2 linked regions of the Struthio camelus genome follow. The protein of the gene in region 2 binds, or shares a complex with, the protein of the main gene of each other region. Links are inferred from orthologs where the notes say so. Each region holds a gene or a part of one and is shown on either strand. Other genes may lie near its edges.

Region 1 (9,470 bases), about 94 Mb from region 2:
GAGAAGGGAATAAACTCTGATGAGCAAACAACACTGCTGTATTTTAACACACACCAAGATCAAAACTCACTTGTGTACCGTGGACCAACTTGCAAACTTTAGTTTTACATGTGAAGCCACTATAAACAGTACTGCAGAGCACTGCGATGATGAAACATACGTCTGTTAAGTGTGCAGTTATTAATGCCGTCGACAACTAAGAGTCAGATTTTAGTTCTTTATGGTTTGCGTTATCACCTGATCTAAATTTAAATTCTTTAAGAAAATTTAGTTCACAGTTGCTCGGAAATTGCATATTCCACTAACAGTAAAGATCCAAAGATGTATTTAAATTTGGTTTCCTGGCTTCTCTTCTGATTCTGTTTTGTGAATGTATCCGCTATTTTGTCAGAAGTGTGTTTGTACAAGTACTGTCCTGCTGTAATCATGAAGCTGGATTGATCTACTTACAGGAATCTTTTTTTTTTCTTTTTCTTCTAGCAGTAAATAAAATTCACAGGAAATGATCCAAAGCAAATTGCTCTCTTCTGGCTCCGTATGTTTGTGGTTTACTGCCTTGTGTTTTGTGTTCAGCAGATGGCAAAATGAAACTGGTTTACTGAAATCCATTTTAGCCCTAACCCTTGCTTGTGTCTTCCTGATTTACAGCTATCTTTGATTGCTCTCCATTACAAACTCTATGTTGATAGCTTAGTGCTGATTGTGTATGATACACTACATGGTGCTTTATTTGGCCACAAATGCCTGAGCAGCCTTTTTCATTCCCCTGGCACTTCTTATCAGATATAAAGTAGAGAACATTTCCATCCAGATCTGATTGACTTGTGAGGTTAGACACTTCTCGAAAGTCATTCTTCATTTACTTCTAACTTTAGGGAGTGTAAGTAAAATTGACCTTATCATATTTGACCTAATTATGTCATGAAGAGCATTAAAAACTCGCATGCTTCACTGAGGAATTTCCCAGGGGACAGACTCACTGGGAAAATGATACCTAAACTGAAATGAAGGACTCTAAGCTGTAGAGCTGAAAAGGAACCTTTTCAGAGCTGCTGGCAATAATTCGCTTATAACAACAGAATGAAAAATCCTGTTTAGGAGTCAATGACACCACTACCAACTAACCTACTGTCAAGTGGTTTTTATAGTCACATAGACAAATGGATCAGCAAAAGCCAGATTTTTCACACCAGTTTTTAGGTGTAGGATAGCCAACTCTGCCCAAATTACAAGTTGAGACATAAGAATTGTACAGGTTAGAGTTCGCTGCCAGTCTGGCCTCTTAACTTTTTCACATTTATAAAACAAAATGTTCCCAGTGTACTGGTCTTAAGTAGAGCAAAAGTCTTCCTTTATATATTCATTAATCTTCCAGATGCGGAAGTAACGTTTTGGTGACAATCACCAACAACTGCTGATCATTGCGATTTTTGAATGAGTGAGAACATAAATAGCAAAATAGCAAACTGAAAGCTAGTTTGGAAAAAAGTGAATAGGTATCTGTTGGACAATATTCAGAAAGTCATTTCTAGTAGGAGGTGTAAGCTTAGCAGCAGTGATGCTGAGGGCGTTTGGGAGTGACACTGAACAGTAAATTAGACATGGCAGCAGGAGAAGCCAAATCAACTTTCAGCTGGATGCACAGAAGTACGTTATAAAACAGCTTTAACTCTCCTTCATCATGGTGCTCAGTATGACTGTTTCTGGACTGCTCTGTACAATTTTGAACGTAATTTTACAAAAAAAATCTGGACTTTCACTGGAGGTTAGAGAAGAGCAATTCAAATGAGTAGAATGATGACTGAAGGAATGATTCAAAATATTCGTGGCTTGTAGAGTGACAGTGGAGTACTGTGTTTCAGTTTCAAAGATGCTAGCGCCAGAGTACAAAAGGGGCTAATAAATGGGGGTGAAAAGTTTAATAAGGCTGAACTGCAGGAAAGATTTCTAAATGTGAACACTCTAAGGGCATAGCATAGTCCTGCAGAGGAATTACTGGTAGGATCATTTCCAGGAAAGAAAAGAGGCATATTTAAAAAAAGATAAGCTTCCAGGAGGAAGAACCATTTCATCCCTGATTTCTCTGATCTCAACCTATTTCACTGTTTTCACATATTAATATTGTACATTCAAAGCCAACGCACAACTGAAAGGCAGATCTCTTGAGTACCCTTGACCAGGGAAAGAGAGACTGAAGCATGAATGGAGTTTTTCTATTCTGAAGTTGCGGTCTGTATGAGTTTCTGATACCAGAGGGAATTGCAGATATTTTGAGTGATGAATTCTTGATATAAAACTAGCTAATGTGATTTCTGATTCCCCAAGCCAGTACAGAAAGAAAAAGATCCCCTAAGTCATGGATTGCAACTTACCAACTCTCTGTTCATCCTGGTATCCCCCATAGTCAGCCGCTTCCCTTCGGTCTAAGGTGTAGTCATGTTTGGGGAAGTACTGCACCCCGCTGTCCTTCTCCAGGTGGTACCTTTTCAGTTCCTGAATGATCTCCATGATCAGATTTAAGAGACTTTGCCTGTCCTTCAAATCTGTGGAGTCAGTTTTCTCTTTGCAGTATCCTGCTGAGAGCATTAGGAGCATCAGCCCCAGAAACCCAGGAGACCTCAGTCCACTCATTGCAATCTGACCTGGAGGGCGGACGACCAGATGAAAAGGAAGGATGTGAACAGGGGGCTGTGGGAGGCCCCCTATCCTGCTGAAAGAGAAAAAGTGGGGGTGGGTTGGAGGTGGGGAGCCTCAAGGGGGTGCAATCGGAAAGACTGCAGGAGGCGAGCGCGGCGTCCGCTTTTCAAGTTACATAAGGCGGGTGCGGGCGCCCCGGCCGGCTGTCTGTCACCCGGGCCGGCGGCGCAGCCGGCGCACCGCAGCTCGAGCGGCCCCCGCGGCCGGGCTCCCCGCGCTGCCCCCGGCGGGCGCGCGCAGCGGCGCGCTGCGCAGCCGCGCCGCCGGGCGAGGCGGGGGCGCTCGGCGGGCGGCGGGGGCGCGCCTCGCTCAGGCGCGGCGCAGCGAGGCGAGGGGCCCGCGGCGCGTGCCGCCGCGGCCGCGCAGCGCAGCCGACGGGCTGGAGGCGGGAGGGAGGCGGCCGCGGCCGCGCAGCGCAGCCGACGGGCTGGAGGCGGGAGGGAGGCGGCGACTTCGCCCGAAGTTTTTGCCGGAGAAGCGCGCGGGGCTGCGCGCCGAGCGAGCCCACGCTGGCCCTGCGGCCCGGCACGGCCGGCGCTCCGCGCATCTCGCCCTGGCAGGAGGTGCGCTGCTTGGCTGGGGGCATGGCCGTGACACGGCTCGCACGTTGCCGCCGTCCCCACACGCCACTCTCGGACTCCTACTTTTCCTTGCTTTTTTTTTTTTTTTTCCTCGCTCCCAACTCAGGGAAGGAGCGCGGCAGCCACAACCAGCCCTGCGCGGAGCAGCCGCACCGCGCCCGCAGAGGACCCGAGCCGAGCGGCGCCGCTCGCCACCTCCCCGCTCCGGCGAGTGCCGCGGGGCGGCCAGCCCCGCAGCCGGCTGCCCAGCGCGTCCCCGCGCGTGGGTGCGCGCCGCGTGGCCGCTCTGCCGGGCCGACTTTCCCGGGACAGCCCGCCGGCTGTCACTCGCGTGGCCGGGCCACCCCGCAGCGCCGCCCGCAGCGCTCCGCTTCGCCGGGGCGGCATGAGGCGAGGGAGAGGGAGCAAGGAGGGCTGCTGGCCCTTCCCAGCGTTGTTACCTGCCTCCGCGTCCCGGGATCCGATGTCTCCTTCCCGCGGGAGTCGCTCCCGTGACTTTTCCCGGCCAGCAGCAGCCCGCAAGCGGCGGGGAGTCCAAGTTTCCCCCGGCTGGCCCGCCCCCCTCCCGTCCCTGTGCTCCCGCCGTATCCACAAACTACTCCATCTCCTCCAGCCCCAGCGCAGCCGCTTATATAGGCTATAGGATGGACATGAGACGGCAGATAGTATCGACTTGGAAGTGGGTGGAAAACAATAAAAGTCCACTTGGCAACCTCGGGAGCGTCGCTGCCGCACAAGCCCCCCCTTCCCGCCCTCCCTTCCCTCCCGCCCCGGTCCCCCCGTCCCTCCCCTTAGCGCAGCTCCCCGGGCAGGGCTCAGTCACTCCTTCTCCTCTCTCCGACGTAAGGAGACGGTCCCAAGTGTGTGTGTGTGGAGTGGGAGGGGGCGGCGGCGGGAAGATGGGAGCGGGGGGAGCGCCTAGCCTGAGCCTTTAATTAGAAACGCGCTGAGAAGCCTCTGAAATATTCATGGCCCTTGGCGCGGCTCGCCGTCAGGCGGGTCCCCGGCCCCGGGGCCGTCACTCGCCGGGGGCCGCGCCGCGGGGGCGGGCGGGGAAGCCGCGTGTTTACCAGGAACTTCGGGTCTGGCTGCGGCGGGGAAGGGGAGGTGTTGGGGCGGGGGCGAGCGGCTGGGGAAAAGGGAGGCTATTTTCTGCTGCTCCCGACCGGGAAGCCCGCAGCGAGGTGGCGGGAGTAGGGTCTGGGTGGAAGAGGCGGGCGTGTCGCCTTTCTCGCTTATTCTTGGCAAGGGTAGTCCCGAGCGGTGAGGCGGCTTCCTGGGCTCTCAGCGCGGCACTGCCTGGAAACGCTCCCAGTAGAGCCGGCCGGGGGGGGGGGGGGGAAGGAGGGCGAAGCGGGGAGAAGGCAGCGCCACGGACAGGAGCGCGCTGCAGACTCTCGTCAGTCATCAGCTCGGTCCGCAAACGGTGACCACCTGAATAAAGGGGGACTACCACGGGGGACGTCGGAGAGACGTGAAGAGGCGAAAGCCTCCTGGAAACACGCGGCGTTATGCTTCCCTGTAAGAGCGAGAGCCGTCCTGCAAGACCCAACACCTCCCGCCCAACCACAGATTTTCAGCCCGAACAGAGTTCCCCTCCGTTTCCCCATTAAGCCCCTCAGAACTTCTGGAGCCGAAGTGAAACACGGTGAAACATGATCCAACTGAACTTTTCTATTTACTTTGATTGTGTGTATAAACCTCTCCCTTGGCAGCTCAAAAGACAAATACAAAGTTGGATCGAGCGGTGAGAGTACTTTCCAAACCCCAGAAGAAGACGGGGGTCGGAGCGGGAGGCGAACGGATTGAGGGGACGGGACGTGAACTTGCGGGGAAGGAGGCACCCCGCAGATAACGTCCGCTCCCGCGCAGCGAGGTCGGGGGACTGAGGAAGCGCTGCCCCTTCTGCCCCGCTCTGGTAGCTACAGAAGTCAGGTAGAGCGCGGCGTCCTCCTCTCCTCAGGCAGCAGCAACAGTGACCCGCAGTGGCAGCTGGCGAAACTGAGCCCTGGCGAAGCCGAGCCGAGGGAAGCGGCGCGGAGCCAGCACGGGCGGGGGGCTGGCTGGGGGGACCCTGCCCGCGGCCGCAGGAGGCGCGCGGAGCCGGCCGTTAACGGCTGCGGGCAACGGCTGGGCTCGGCTGTGGAGGGAAGCTCCTCCCCCCGCGGCGGGCCGCGCCGCCGCCGGCCATGTGCGCGTCTCGAAGGAGCCTCGTCTTCTGCCGAGCAGAGCGCGTTACCTCTGCTCACTAAGAGCTGTAAATCACCCAGCGCGGAATAAGTTTTCCTGACTTCCAAAGTGCTTCCAAGTGCTTCCAAACAAAAGGAAGAAGAAAAAAAAAAAGATGATTTCACCATGCTCTATGTTTGCCTTTTATATGTGTCTTTCTGTAAATACTTATTTTATTACTTTTAAATATATGGATATGCTACACAATACAGCATGATTAAGAAAGACATCCAGAGGCAAGATTGAGCAAGAGCAATTTTGAAAGGAGTCCAGAAAACTAGTTTCTCTTTGGCTTGGTGATTTGTTTCTAGTCTTGAGACTTGGGGGAAAAAAATGAAACGATAGTTCATCAGTAAGAAAGAATGGTACTTTGCATGGCATAACCATAGTATGGTTATAGTTGCAATTTAGTCATACCAAATAGTAACACTATAGCTACGAGACAGGAGATAGATAGCAAAGATGGAAAACTGGACAGATATTGCACAATCTGACAGTTTGCTGTTTACTTCTCTACTATTTACTTCTCACTATTTACTTCTATTGCGAGTAATTATTACAAGTAATTATAAGTAATACTTCTTCCAAATTAATCGCTTTGGAAACAATAACTCCAGCATGAGTTAGGGAAAGCGTTAGCTGGCGTGAACCAAAAGCATGCCAAGGACAAATTGACGATGTAGGCAATTTCATTCAGATGTCCAGGGTTATTCCTCTTTAATTTACTAATATAGATGTAGACTCAAAGTACTATGAAAATATTCACTGAGCTATAAAGTAGGTAATACACAATCTGTTGTCTTTTTATGCATGCAGAAACTGAGGCAGTGGTCTATTTTGATTTGTTTACATTGATTTATACACAGATAAATGCTAGCTCCCATGTCTTCAGTGGAGTTAACTGAAATTTACACTGATAGATTTGGGATGATAATTTAATGTTCCAGCATATTACATGTTATCAAGTACATTTTCTTAGGGCTAGATTTAACTAACTATCTAAGTGCTTACCACTGAAATACTACCAAACACCTTCTCTGCATATATATGGGTGAAACTGCGATCTCCAAGACTTCTGCCCGCCTTCAATCTGACTCTTGAGGCTTCGGAAGTGAGTAGGTGCACTGTTTTGCCATTAAAGCTCAGAGGTGCTTGGAGTTCTTTTCTGGATATTGGGAAGCATCTGACTCTTGATGGCACTAAGCAGCCTGGATGCTGAAGAAAGCATGCTCCCAGGATTTACAAGATGTAAGTTCGGATGCCTTCAGATAGAAATGACAGATGAACACACCTTCTCAGCCAGCTGCACATGGACATAAAGAAAGACTTTCTTCTTGCGTTCCTTGAAAGAAGGTGGAGAGGGTGATATGGCCCCCAGTCTCAAAAAGCAACACAATCTTGGATGAGGAAGCCAAAGAGATATTACAACATAATGAGTATTTTGGCTTGTCCTGCAGGGATAGATTTCATTAAAAAAAAACTCCTGATGTGATTTTTTGGCTTATGTTTACAGAACATCAAGTTAGTGGTCTCCTCGGCAATCAAATCTATTTTTAAAGTGAACATCTTAATCCTCTGAATAAGGACCATGTGAAGCAAGCACAAAGTAAAAAAAAAGAAGACTGAATGCTGTATTGGGTGGACAGACTTCACTGATGCGTGAAGACTTCACACTGCGTTCCCTGGGTGGGTTATGGAGCAGAGGCACTAAGTTTGGAATTTGGAACAAAAACCAAAGTGGAATTTCTAGCGTCATTAACTAACACACGGTAGTCACTGTTTTCTGGGTAGCAATTTTACTAACTTTCACCAATTCCTTTCTCTAATGCCATGCTAGAATGTTAAAGATATCTTCACTTTTTTTTTTTAAACTTACGGGGCGTACGTGAAAACAAGAATATGTGTACTTGGTTCTGTCTTCTAAAACTGGTGAAATTTTCATGCTAAGAGCCTTACAGTTTCAAGCGTGCTCTTGTTTCAGCTGATTATAACAGACATAAGGGTTCCTATCTATATTTAATAAAAGCAAGTGCAACATTTTCTGAAGTGATTGCAGAGCAGAGCTGATTGTCTAAATCAAGCTCATAACCAATATATGAACTGAGTGTACACTTAGAAAATTCCAGCGGACATTCATATGACTAGACTATGAAAATGCTTCTTGTATCGCTCTCTATTGACCTCAGAACCTCAAAATGATGTTTTGAAATCCTTTTTTTCCCCATAAGCATTCCAACTGCTTATAAAAATTCTAAAAAGTTACCCTGTGAGTTTAAAAAACAGACTTTTCAGTCCTCACAGAAGAAAAGCAATATTTAATCTTCTTCAAGTTATATGTCAATCATGATAAAAATAAATATGATGAGATGGTATGGAGCTGGTAATTCTGTTGGGTTTCTTGAGTGGCTATCCGTTGACTGACTTGACAACTGGACTTGCAAAGTATAGATCACATCCACCATATGTGGCGACTTTTTATCCCATACGGAAGTCAGTAATTCTTTAAGAGGAAGTTTATCCTACCTGATGATTCAAGAATACCTGCACTGGCAAATGACAAGTAGATTTTCTTTCTGGCCACTGTTAGGTTAGCTACATTTCTGTGAGCAGAGCATGCGGGTATTACTTTGGAAGCTATGTTTATGATAGTTATTTTAAAATTCTAGATAGGAAAATATATATGTAGCATCCAACAGATGTTTTTTTCCAAAATCTCTGTTCCAATTTATGAAACTGTTGAATATGTTTTCAATATAATGTATTGTACCTAAGTGTAAAATAATATTTATGCACCTGGCTCAGTCATCTCTGTGAGCCTCCAACTCTCAGAGGCAATGCCCAATGCAGTGACAGCTGCTGGGGAGGGCAGAGATGAGGCATTACGAATTCCTGTAGTGCTGAAATCAACCAGAGAACATACATAACGTGAACAAAAACTTCAACAGATGTTAGGGTATTAAAGCCAATTGAGTATTTTAAGGGCTTTCCTCGCTTCCTACCTGGTCCAAATGCCAAGAAGATTAAAATCCCATTAATCATCACGGCAACCAAGACTGGAGAACTTTGATATACTTCCTAAACGTTCTGTCAGCGTTACAGGCAGGGCCGGCCTGATGTTTTTGGTAGAGAGTTTAAAAGAGCAGATTTCTGCCTATAATATTCTCTACCTGTAAATTCAAGGCTAAAGACAGCTCTGCGTTGGCCAACACTTCAGTCACTGAGCCAGATTCAACATTATATTCGGTTAGTTTTGTGGTGCTGCACCAGTGCAAACCGACTGTGGAAATCCCACTGAACAAGCTGGAGGAAATGTGTGTCCTATGAGAATAGTGTCACTTTGTCTAGTTACCTTTCATAGTTTTCAAAGTATCCCCTGGAATTTCAAGGTTCAGAAACCAGAGGCTGAAGAAAAGTACTCCGAATTATTCCATCTATAGTTTTTTGGAGATACTTAACTTTGCAGAATAAAGATAAATGCTACAGAGAAGCAAGTCAAGCTCCTCTTCATGGTAGACTATTGACTATAGCGAGACACTAACAAAGACCAGACTCCTAACTTTTAAACAACTAATGGAAGGTGGGAGGCTAATTCCACTCTAAGAAACTGTTTTTGAGGCCATAAGCAGTTCAGAGGAAGACCCTTCTTTATCTGTATCCGATATGCAGCAGTGGGCCTGCTATATGTGTGTTCATTGTTGACTGCTGTCTGTTTGCCTTAGAGTTACATAGCTGCAGGTATAGTAGCTGTCTTTCCATGTAAGAGCAAGAGTAAAATCCCTAGCTGATTTCTCTCACTAGCTGATAGAAGGCATTGCTTTCTCTGGCCTGCTCTGATCTCTCTGTGCCACAAAAGGAATGAAGATGGCTTCAGTATGCATAAGAACTCAGTTGTTTTAGTGGCAGAGTAGCTTGCTCTTTCATTCCCAACTATAGTTCTTAGCTCAAAGAGACAAGTGAATCACA
Region 2 (8,563 bases):
TGCCTGTTGGGCAGTTTAGCTCAGTGGGTTTAAGAACCAAGACCCGTCTTTTCCTCACCATGCGTAAAGGAACTATGGTCTGCTTCTCCATGAAGTGTCCCAAGCAAAATGTACATTGCCATATCCCATTGCCAGTTTTCTCTCTATTTTTCTTGACAGCCTGGTTCTGTAGCCATCCCTGGATACAGAAATTTTTATACGGGGCCTGATTCCCACCCTTAGCGCTGTCTTTGAAATGTTTGTTGTGTACGGACACTTTACTTTGAAGTCTTGCCGATAGACCTTGGGTCTAATATATCCCTGTAGGACAAATAAGCAGTGACTTGGATTGGGAGCTGCTTGGGTTGGGGAGAACAGAAATGGTGTCTCCAGCTGTTCTGCACACCTTCAGGAGTGCTGGTAACACTCAGCAGTACTGATTTCTTCCCAAAATCTAGTGCGAAAACACTGTTCTTAACTACCATTTCTTGGCTTGTAGCTTGGCATAGTTCCTCAGCAATATTTCATCTCCCTTTTCTTTGCTCTAACTGTCCTGCCTAAATTATTAACTCTCTCAGTGCTGTCTCCACATTGTTGCTGGTGTGTGAAGGCAGTGTTGCCTAAGGAGTTGACACTGTGCACAGTCTCAGCTAAATCTAAGCAGAAATGTTAAAACAAAGCAATTGCTGATGCTTGCTCAGTCTATTATGTACCCGTCTTCCGCTCACAGTACTGCAGTTTGCAAGTCTTCTGGTTAATTTTTTCAGCCCTGTGATGCTGCTCAGCTCTAATTTCTCGTGGTAGTATTTCACATGAAGTTCTGGCAAAGGTTTACTAGGGTGTGGATATACTACATTTACTGGATCTCTCCCAAAATCTAAACAGTTGCAATTAGAGCCCCAACAAGTGATAAAGCTTGCCTGGCACAAGTTTCGTAAGGCTGGAGGTCTGTGAATCTTTTATGGGCAGACTGTGCTTTCCGGGGTGTCACGCTCTCAGCTCTGGGACACTGCTCTGCTTCCTCTGAAGTGCCCTTTCTGGCATGTTCTTTCATTCTTTTGCTGGCGCTGAAATGTAGACCTATCTATGTGACTCTTTTTTTCTCCACTGTAAAGTTAGTACTGCATTTAATTTTCCCCCTATCCTTTGAGACCTCCTTGGTTTTCCTCCGCTTTTCAAAATTAATTGCCAGTGACATAGTCAATTCATTAGCTAAATTAAAACCCTGGGAACCATATTGTCCGGATCTGCTGATCCCAGCCTATCAAAGAGTTGTACAAAGTATTTCCTTACCTGTCCTTCATTAGCAGCTGTATTGACCGGGCTTCTATTACTTCCCAATTGTCCATACTACTCTTCTTGTTAAAGACCTCTTGAAAAGGGAGAAAAAAGAGGCAGCGCAGCAACTCAACCACTGCAGATCCCTCATTGATTTCCTTGCCTCTCTCTTCATTCATTAATGGATCCGTCTTCACTTTTTCTCTTTAGATGTATTAACGGCTGTTCCTATTTCATTTGATGCCTATTAGTCAAGACACCTCTTTGATTCAGTTTTCAGTTCTAACCTTTTTGTGATTCATGGCAGAGAAACAAGGTAATACAGTAGGAAAAGAACACATCTGTATGTTTTGATGCTCCCTACCTGATTTCCTTGGGACCATTAAATAACATTCTTTTAGCTGCTATGACAATTTCAGGATGCTGCTTTTTCTGCTTTTTTTTTTTTTTTCCAGGCGCACTCAAATTATTTCACTGAGTGCTGTGTGTGCTTTAGGAATGCTGCATCGTAACCCAAATGCGGGCAAAAGCCACCATCCCTTTGTCTTATCCCCAGGCGTCTCAGCATTTTTCTCCTACAATCCCCCAGGGGACAACCCCAAAACAACTGGCACAATCACTTGCGTCCATACAGCACCCACACCGCTGACACTGACCAGGAGGTTGGGTTGTACTTCGGGTCATAAGTAGAAGGAGATATGTTTACGAGAGAGCAGATTTAGTAGGGCCTTTGTTTGTATGCAGTGCCCAGACAATGTTGCTGTTATCCTACCCCTGTCACAATAGATCTAGTTCTTCATATATCTTCTCCAGCATCCTCCCACAAGGCAGAAGGCCAGTCCTAGCAGGGTACTATTGACCTGAAGACTGACTGCTGCTCAGTGGGCTCCAGAAAAATGAATCCCTGTATTCCTAGGTTGGGCACATCACAAAAACTCCCTGTCCTGCTCAGCAGCTTTTTTGGTATTCGTGGTAGAGAAGACAGAGTCCAAAGAGATACGGTGACTGACCTCAACTCTAAGAGAGATATGAATAGGCAGTGTGAAAGAAGGATGCAGTGTGCCATAGCATATTTTTTTATTTCATTCTGAGGAGAAATCAGAGAGCGAAGTTTCTAGTTATGCCAGTCTGACTCATTGCTGGGGCCAACTCTGACTTCCTAGTTATGATGAAAGTCAGTGAGATGTCTGTATAATTTCCAAGATAAAGAGCAAAGTTGAGGAGATACACTCTATCTTAGCAGGATGTTGGGGATAAATGAATCAGTCAAATTATTCTGCTCCTAGTAGCTGAGTTGAAAATCTGAACTGTGTCCTGGGCCTACCCTATTAAAGTCAGTGGGAGACTGGCCATTCACTGAAGTGAGCAGAGCATTAAGCCCTGTTTGACTGAATCTTAGAGGAAAATACTAAGAACTGAAAACTGTAGAAGTCCCATAGTAGAGACTTCATTTGATGGAAATCTGATATGCGCAAGCAGGAAAACAGTCTATAATAAACTGTGAAAGAGATTTTTAGAACATTTTCTTCCAGTGCCCAACATACCATTTTTTTGCGGTAATTGTCGTTCTTTTTGAGAGAGACTCACTCGCATTTAATACTCCTCCAGAGGAAGATGATAGTCCAAAATAATTTGGAGAATAGAGCAGGTCTGAGGACCTAGTTCTCAATCCATGAATGTGCACATTAGTAGGACTATCCACTAGAGTAAAAGATGCTGCTGAGTTAAAAGGCCGGAGGCCCATGATTGATTCAGTCCATTTAACATTTTTTTCCAATAAGGATTTTGAGGTCAAGAGAATAAAAGCATACAGATCAAGTTGAAATATTTGTATGTTGGATGTTGTGTCCCAAGACACTTGTATGTGTTCAGTTTGCAAAAAGTAAAAATATGGCGAATTTCCCACCCTTCTAAGGGGCATAATGCTGGCTCTGAACAGATGCCAAGTGGGGTGTTTCCAACAGTTTCCTCTTTTAAGAAAAGGAAGACCAAGGCCCAAAGTATTACTAAAACTTACAAGTGAAGGATTAGGGTTCACCGGTAGGACAAGTGAATCTAGTGGATTGTAAAATAACAGCAGCTATGGGGAAAAGCGGGTACGACCCAAGCCCATTAGCATCGGTTGGGACAACATGCATCCTCTTCGATGAGCTTTGAATTCTCAAGAACTATATTAGACTAAATATGGCAGAAAAGTTCTTTGTTGAATTAAGCATATTATATAACTATTCCTGTGATACTTGCCCTGAAGTTCCTTCTTTAACTCTTCTGTGTAGAAAAAATCCTGGTTCTCTTTTCTAACATTGTGCCTGCAATCACACTCTTTGGCACTACAATTATGGAGGGATTACACTGTGATTCTACTCCACAATATCTGTATATTAACGCTAATTTGATATAAGCAGAAGAATAACCACATGACAGAATAATTGCACTCTAATGATTATATAGTTAAAGTACCTGGATTATAAAAATATACATGCATTAAGTATCAAACTAAAGAGATAATAATAAGGCATTAATTCATATAGGCAACTTCCAGAAATATGAATGAGTTATGATTAGCTATCCTAAGGCATAGCACTAATGTAATTACAGTAATTATATTGTATTTATTAAAGGTAAAAAAGGGGGAAATTGTAGCATGAGCCATTCTTAAGGCTGTTGTTTCCATTCTGAAATGGAACATTTTTGTTCATTTTTTAATATGACTTATGCTCTAAGATTTCTTTTTTTCCCCCCTCACTTCTTCTTCTGCAGAGGAAAGCTATACAGGGTTGTTTGGGAGACCTCAGTCTTTAAGGAGAGAAGGAAGGAGGGAAAGGAAGGAAGGAAAAAGGGAAGGAGGGAGGGAAAACGGGAAGGAAAAGGAAGGAGAAGGAGGGAGGGAGGCAGGAGGGAAAGAAGGAAAGGGAGGGAGGGAAAATGAACGGCGCTGTCCACCACTGCCTGCACAGAGAGAAAGGGAAGAGCGGCCCGGGCGGGCCCCGGGACTCCAGGGCCCGACAGCGCACGGCGGCACCGCCTGGGGCCCGCCCCGCGGCTGGGGCCGGGGGCTCGGCCGGGTGGCGCGGGGGTGCGGGGGCGCCGCCAAGCCCCGGCCCTGCCTGCCCGGAGCGCGGGGCCGCCGCCGCCGCCCCCCCCGGCGCTGCGCATCCCCGACGCGGCGGCGCGGCGCCCCGGCACCCCTCCCGTCGGGGCGGCCGGGGGCGGCCGGGCTATTTTTTTCTCAATGAACTCGCCCCCCCGCCCCGCCCCCGTCATATTTGCATAATGACGGCTGCCGGGGACGGCATTGGCTGCTGCCGGGCGGGCTCGGGCGTGATGTCAGCGCTCGCCGGGTAATGCCTGCGTTGTGGCGGGTAGTTGGAGCCGGCAAAGCCCGCGCGGCGGCGGCGGCGGCAGCAGCAGCAGCAGCAGCGGCGGCGGCGGCGGCGGCAGCAGCATCGGCCTCGGCACCGGCGGTCCCGGGCGCACCGGCCTCGGCAGCGGCCCCGGCCCCGCGCTCCTCGGCCCCGCGCTCCTCGGCCGCAGCGGCCCCGGCCCCCGGGGCGCACCGGCCCCGGTGCCGCTCCGTCGGGGCAGGACGGGGCGGCGGCGCAGCGGGGCGCGCCCCGAGCGGCCGCCGAGGGCGGGCGGGCGGGCCATGGCGGGGGACCGGCTGCCCGTCCGCCTGCTGGCCGCCGCCTGCCTCGCCCTGAGCCTGGCGGCGGCGGCGGCAGCGGGGCCGGCGACGCCGCGGGAGAGCGCCGGCTTCTCGCGGCTGCAGCGGAAGAGCCTGGCCGTGGACTTCGTCGTGCCCTCGCTGTTCCGGACCTACGTGCGGGAGCTGGTGCTGGGGCCGCCGGGGCTGGCGGCAGCGGCGCGGTGCCGCTTGCGGCTGGACTGCGCGCCGCTGCTGCGCGCCGCCCGCGGGGGGCTGCCGCGGGCCGCGCCGCCCGCCCGCCCCGGCGGCCCCGGCGCGGCGCTGCCCGGCGGCCCGGCTCGGAGGCTGCGCCGCGCCAAGCAGCTGGTGCTGGAGGTGGGCGAGGGCAGCCTGCGCGACGGCTGCGCCGCCGAGCCGCCGCCGAGCCCCGGCGGGGCGGGCGGCGCGGCGCAGCTGGAGTTCAACCTCACCGAGCTCTTCGCCGGCTGGCTGCGCGCCGGCCAGGGCCGCCTGCGGGTGCGCCTGATGCCCGAGCGGCGGGCCGCCCTGCTGGGCAGGGAGCGAGGGCTCTCGGCGGCCATCCGCGCCGCCCGGCCCCGGCTCCTCTTCCACGTCTCGGCGGCAGGTGAGCTGCGCGTTGCATGCCGCCGCGCCCCGCTCCGCGCCCATCCCCGCGGCCGCCCGGCCGCCCGGCCCTGCCCTCCGCGCCCTGCGCAGCCACTGCGCCTTCCCCACCCTCGGCAAACACCCGGCCCGCCCACGCGGTCGCCCCGTCGCTGCTCTAGCCCCGTGGGTGCGGGGGGAGATGCGGGAAGTGGTCGCGGCTTTCCCCTTGGCGGCTGAGAGATGCAGCGGCGGGTCCGCGGGGCCACGCTCCGAAAGCGCCGAGGGCTTGCACGAAACGCGAAGGGTTCGTTTGTGCCTGGCGGCCACATGCAAAACCCACGGGCAAAGCCCTCATTGCTCTGCGGAGAGCGAGATAAGGCTCTTGGAAACTTAAAAATGCCATCTTAGAAGGGGCAAGTTTACGCAAGTGCAGCAAGCGATCCCCAGGTTATGTGCAGGCAGACCTCAGGGAATAGGAGAAACACGTCCAAAGCGGAGCTGACCAGCAGATCGATACGTCACTGCTGATAGTGATACGTGACAGTATTATTTCTCCTCTTAAAGATACAAGGTAATGGGCTAACACATAAACATGTACGTGGAGCTGGTGCTTCTCTGAGTTTCATGTATCTGAAACTGGGTTAATTTCTATCAAAAATCATTGAGCATCCTTAGCGAACTGCACTGTAGGAGATCCAGTAAGACAAAAAGTTATTCATCTGAGGAGCCTCACTTACCACTGGTGTTTTTCTGAAGAAAGAATGTGGCTTAAAATATTGGTTCCAGACTGCAGTTATTTGCAGTCAGGATACGGGGCAGCTCCGTTACCTCTAATCAAGTCTCTGCTTTGGGCTAGTAATCAAGAAAGCTTTCCATTCTGTGCATGCGATTTACCTTTAACACTAGCTCTTATTCAGGCTGTCCCACTGAAAGAATGTAGTACCTATAGGACTGCAGGGTCAAATAATTTGTTACAGTGAATTAAGTTAGGTAGCTTTCATGAAGCTATGTAGAAGTCAATGGTGCGTTCCTGAGTAGCCACCTAGTTAATGGACCAGGGAGTATACTTAAGCAAATTCACAAGAGGTGAGACAAGTCAGTGCTGGGCTTTGAATACAAAGTTGAAGCAACTGATTTCTGACGCTCCACTGAAAAGCTGGGCCAGCAACTGGAATAAGTGCAAACTGAACTCATATCATTCCTTGCTGCCTGACGCCAAAATCAAAGCAGGTTGTCAGAGCAGGGTCTATGTGATCCAGTCTTATACTCATGGCTGGCACGAGATGCCCTGGTTATCTTCCTGTACGAATTCTGGCAGGGGTAAGGCAGAGGTACTTTCTACCACAAGGTGGCCAGGCGAGGTCAAAAACAAACCAAAAAACCCAGAAAAACCTGCTTGCTGTTTTCATCATTTGGGAATTTATTGTGAGGTGCACTTGTCTTGCTTCACCGTTGGACAGTTAAGATGTAGCTTTAGCTTTTAATGCCAGCTTAGACCCAGTGCTTTTAGTAATAGAGGGGCTGGAGAGCGTGCACTTGCCCTCTGTGAGGATGAAGGTGTGTCTGTGACCCTGGCGAAGGGAGTCCGTGTGGACTAACAAGGTGCTCTGGTCTTAGGAAGACAAGGCAGATGGAACTTTAACTAAAGTTAGTAACCCTTCAGGCTTTGGACGTTGTCTTCGCTGTTGAGAAGAAATGCATACTTTTACAGATAGGTGACTAGTAGTTAGGCATTCCCCTGTAAAATCACGTTGGAGACACGGCTCTGCAGTCTTTACTGCAATATAGTCATACACAGTCAATCATAGGGGACGCAGGAATAGGAGGAAGAGAGAAGAAGGAATATTGACCTCATCTACCTGTATCACAGCAATAACCACTCCTAACAGAGGTTCCTAATCTCTAAAAATCCGAGTCTCCCCTTGAATTTTACACCAACGTGCATAACATGCATAGGCTGTGTCGCTATAAAATTATACTCTGCTTTTTTAGCAATGAAAACTTAGTGTACTTAGGCTATTACATGACTTTGCATTAGGTTTGTAACGTGGGTTTGCTAAACACATTAAAAATCCATTCTTTCTGCTTTGTGAAGATACTGCCTGTTTGAACACCATGTGTCACTGCCATACTTCAATTCGTGCCATATAGCCCTGCCGATAGCAGGACGTGCTGACACGGTGATAACATCCAGCAGCCTGTAAGCGTGAGGAATGCAGCCATTATTAACGCCGTTGCAGCTAATGTGTGCGGGGCTTAGCTAAAGCCCTTCCTAAGGCGACTGAGCCTTGCCTTCATTGCTTAAGTTAATTGGAAATGGATTGCAAGCAACACAATCCTACCATCAATAATGTAAAGCTGCCTCACTTATTTTGGCATATTTAGCTTTTTTTTTTTTTTTTTTCTTTCTTGTTAGAGAGGCTCAGCATTGCCGTACTTCCCAGGGAAAGATGTAATTACCTTGCTAAATTATTTTGGCAAAATTATCCTCCATATGAATGGAGACTGAAATATATTTTAGGATGAGAAAAAACTGCAAGGAGCTCAATTCCCATTGTCTTTAAGGGTTATGGAAGAGTCCCTTAAAAGTGCTCTATTCTCCTTAACTGTTACACTCCCTGATACTGGCTTAAAGATATTAAACCAGAGTGAACTCTTTTCCTTTCTAACAACATGTTTGCACAAAGCAATGTAATGTAATTTGCCTCAGTGTGTTACTGAACAATTAGTAAAAGATGTACTAACTGGACTGCTGCTGTTTAACAGACAAACCATGAAGTTCACGGGAATTTTTATAGGGCTTTCTGCAAATATTCTCAATGCCAGATTTCTCACATGCACTCATCCTTGTGGGAATGGAGTACCCTGCAAAAAAGAGCTTCCAATTTCAGAAGCTCTGGTCCCAAGCCCATCCACAATTTCTATGTCAGCTTGGCCTTTCCAGAATTGGCTAAGAGACAGTTTTCCTCTCTTGGAAATGCTTCAAGAATTAATACTGGCTTCCTCTCCTTCCCCTAGTGCTTCTCTGGGACAAAATCAAATTCATTTCAATCT

What was found.
Region 1: the proteins of ALK (region 2) and ALKAL2 are in contact, whole or in part, in a cryo-EM structure (PDB 9G5I), measured with the Homo sapiens proteins. The link is inferred for Struthio camelus from reciprocal best matches to the Homo sapiens genes ALK and ALKAL2. Residues at the interface, in NP_004295.2 of Homo sapiens: Leu684, Tyr739, His755, Ser758, Leu760, Phe856, His857, Glu859, Leu965, Tyr966, Thr967, Pro968, Leu970, Lys971, Val972, Met973, Glu974, Glu978, Asn980, Val992, Glu994, Cys995, His996, Met997, Phe1007, Asp1009; in NP_001002919.2 of Homo sapiens: Ser112, Lys113, His114, His116, Arg117, Leu118, His120, Asn121, Thr122, Arg123, Asp124, Arg133, Arg136, Leu137, Arg140, Leu141.

What each region holds. Positions count from the first base shown.
Region 1 is NC_090944.1:30,143,543-30,153,012, reverse strand, and holds the start of ALKAL2 (ALK and LTK ligand 2), read right to left. Parts: upstream 4,037-9,470; 5' UTR 3,719-4,036; intron 2,711-3,718; 5' UTR 2,632-2,710; coding exon 2,373-2,631; intron 514-2,372; exon of another isoform or gene 1-513. UniProt on the Homo sapiens protein: Cytokine that acts as a physiological ligand for receptor tyrosine kinases LTK and ALK, leading to their activation. Cytokine-binding is sufficient to activate LTK. In contrast, ALKAL2-driven activation of ALK is coupled with heparin-binding to ALK.
Region 2 is NC_090944.1:123,891,981-123,900,543, reverse strand, and holds the start of ALK (ALK tyrosine kinase receptor), read left to right. Parts: upstream 1-4,903; coding exon 4,904-5,528; intron 5,529-8,563. UniProt on the Homo sapiens protein: Neuronal receptor tyrosine kinase that is essentially and transiently expressed in specific regions of the central and peripheral nervous systems and plays an important role in the genesis and differentiation of the nervous system.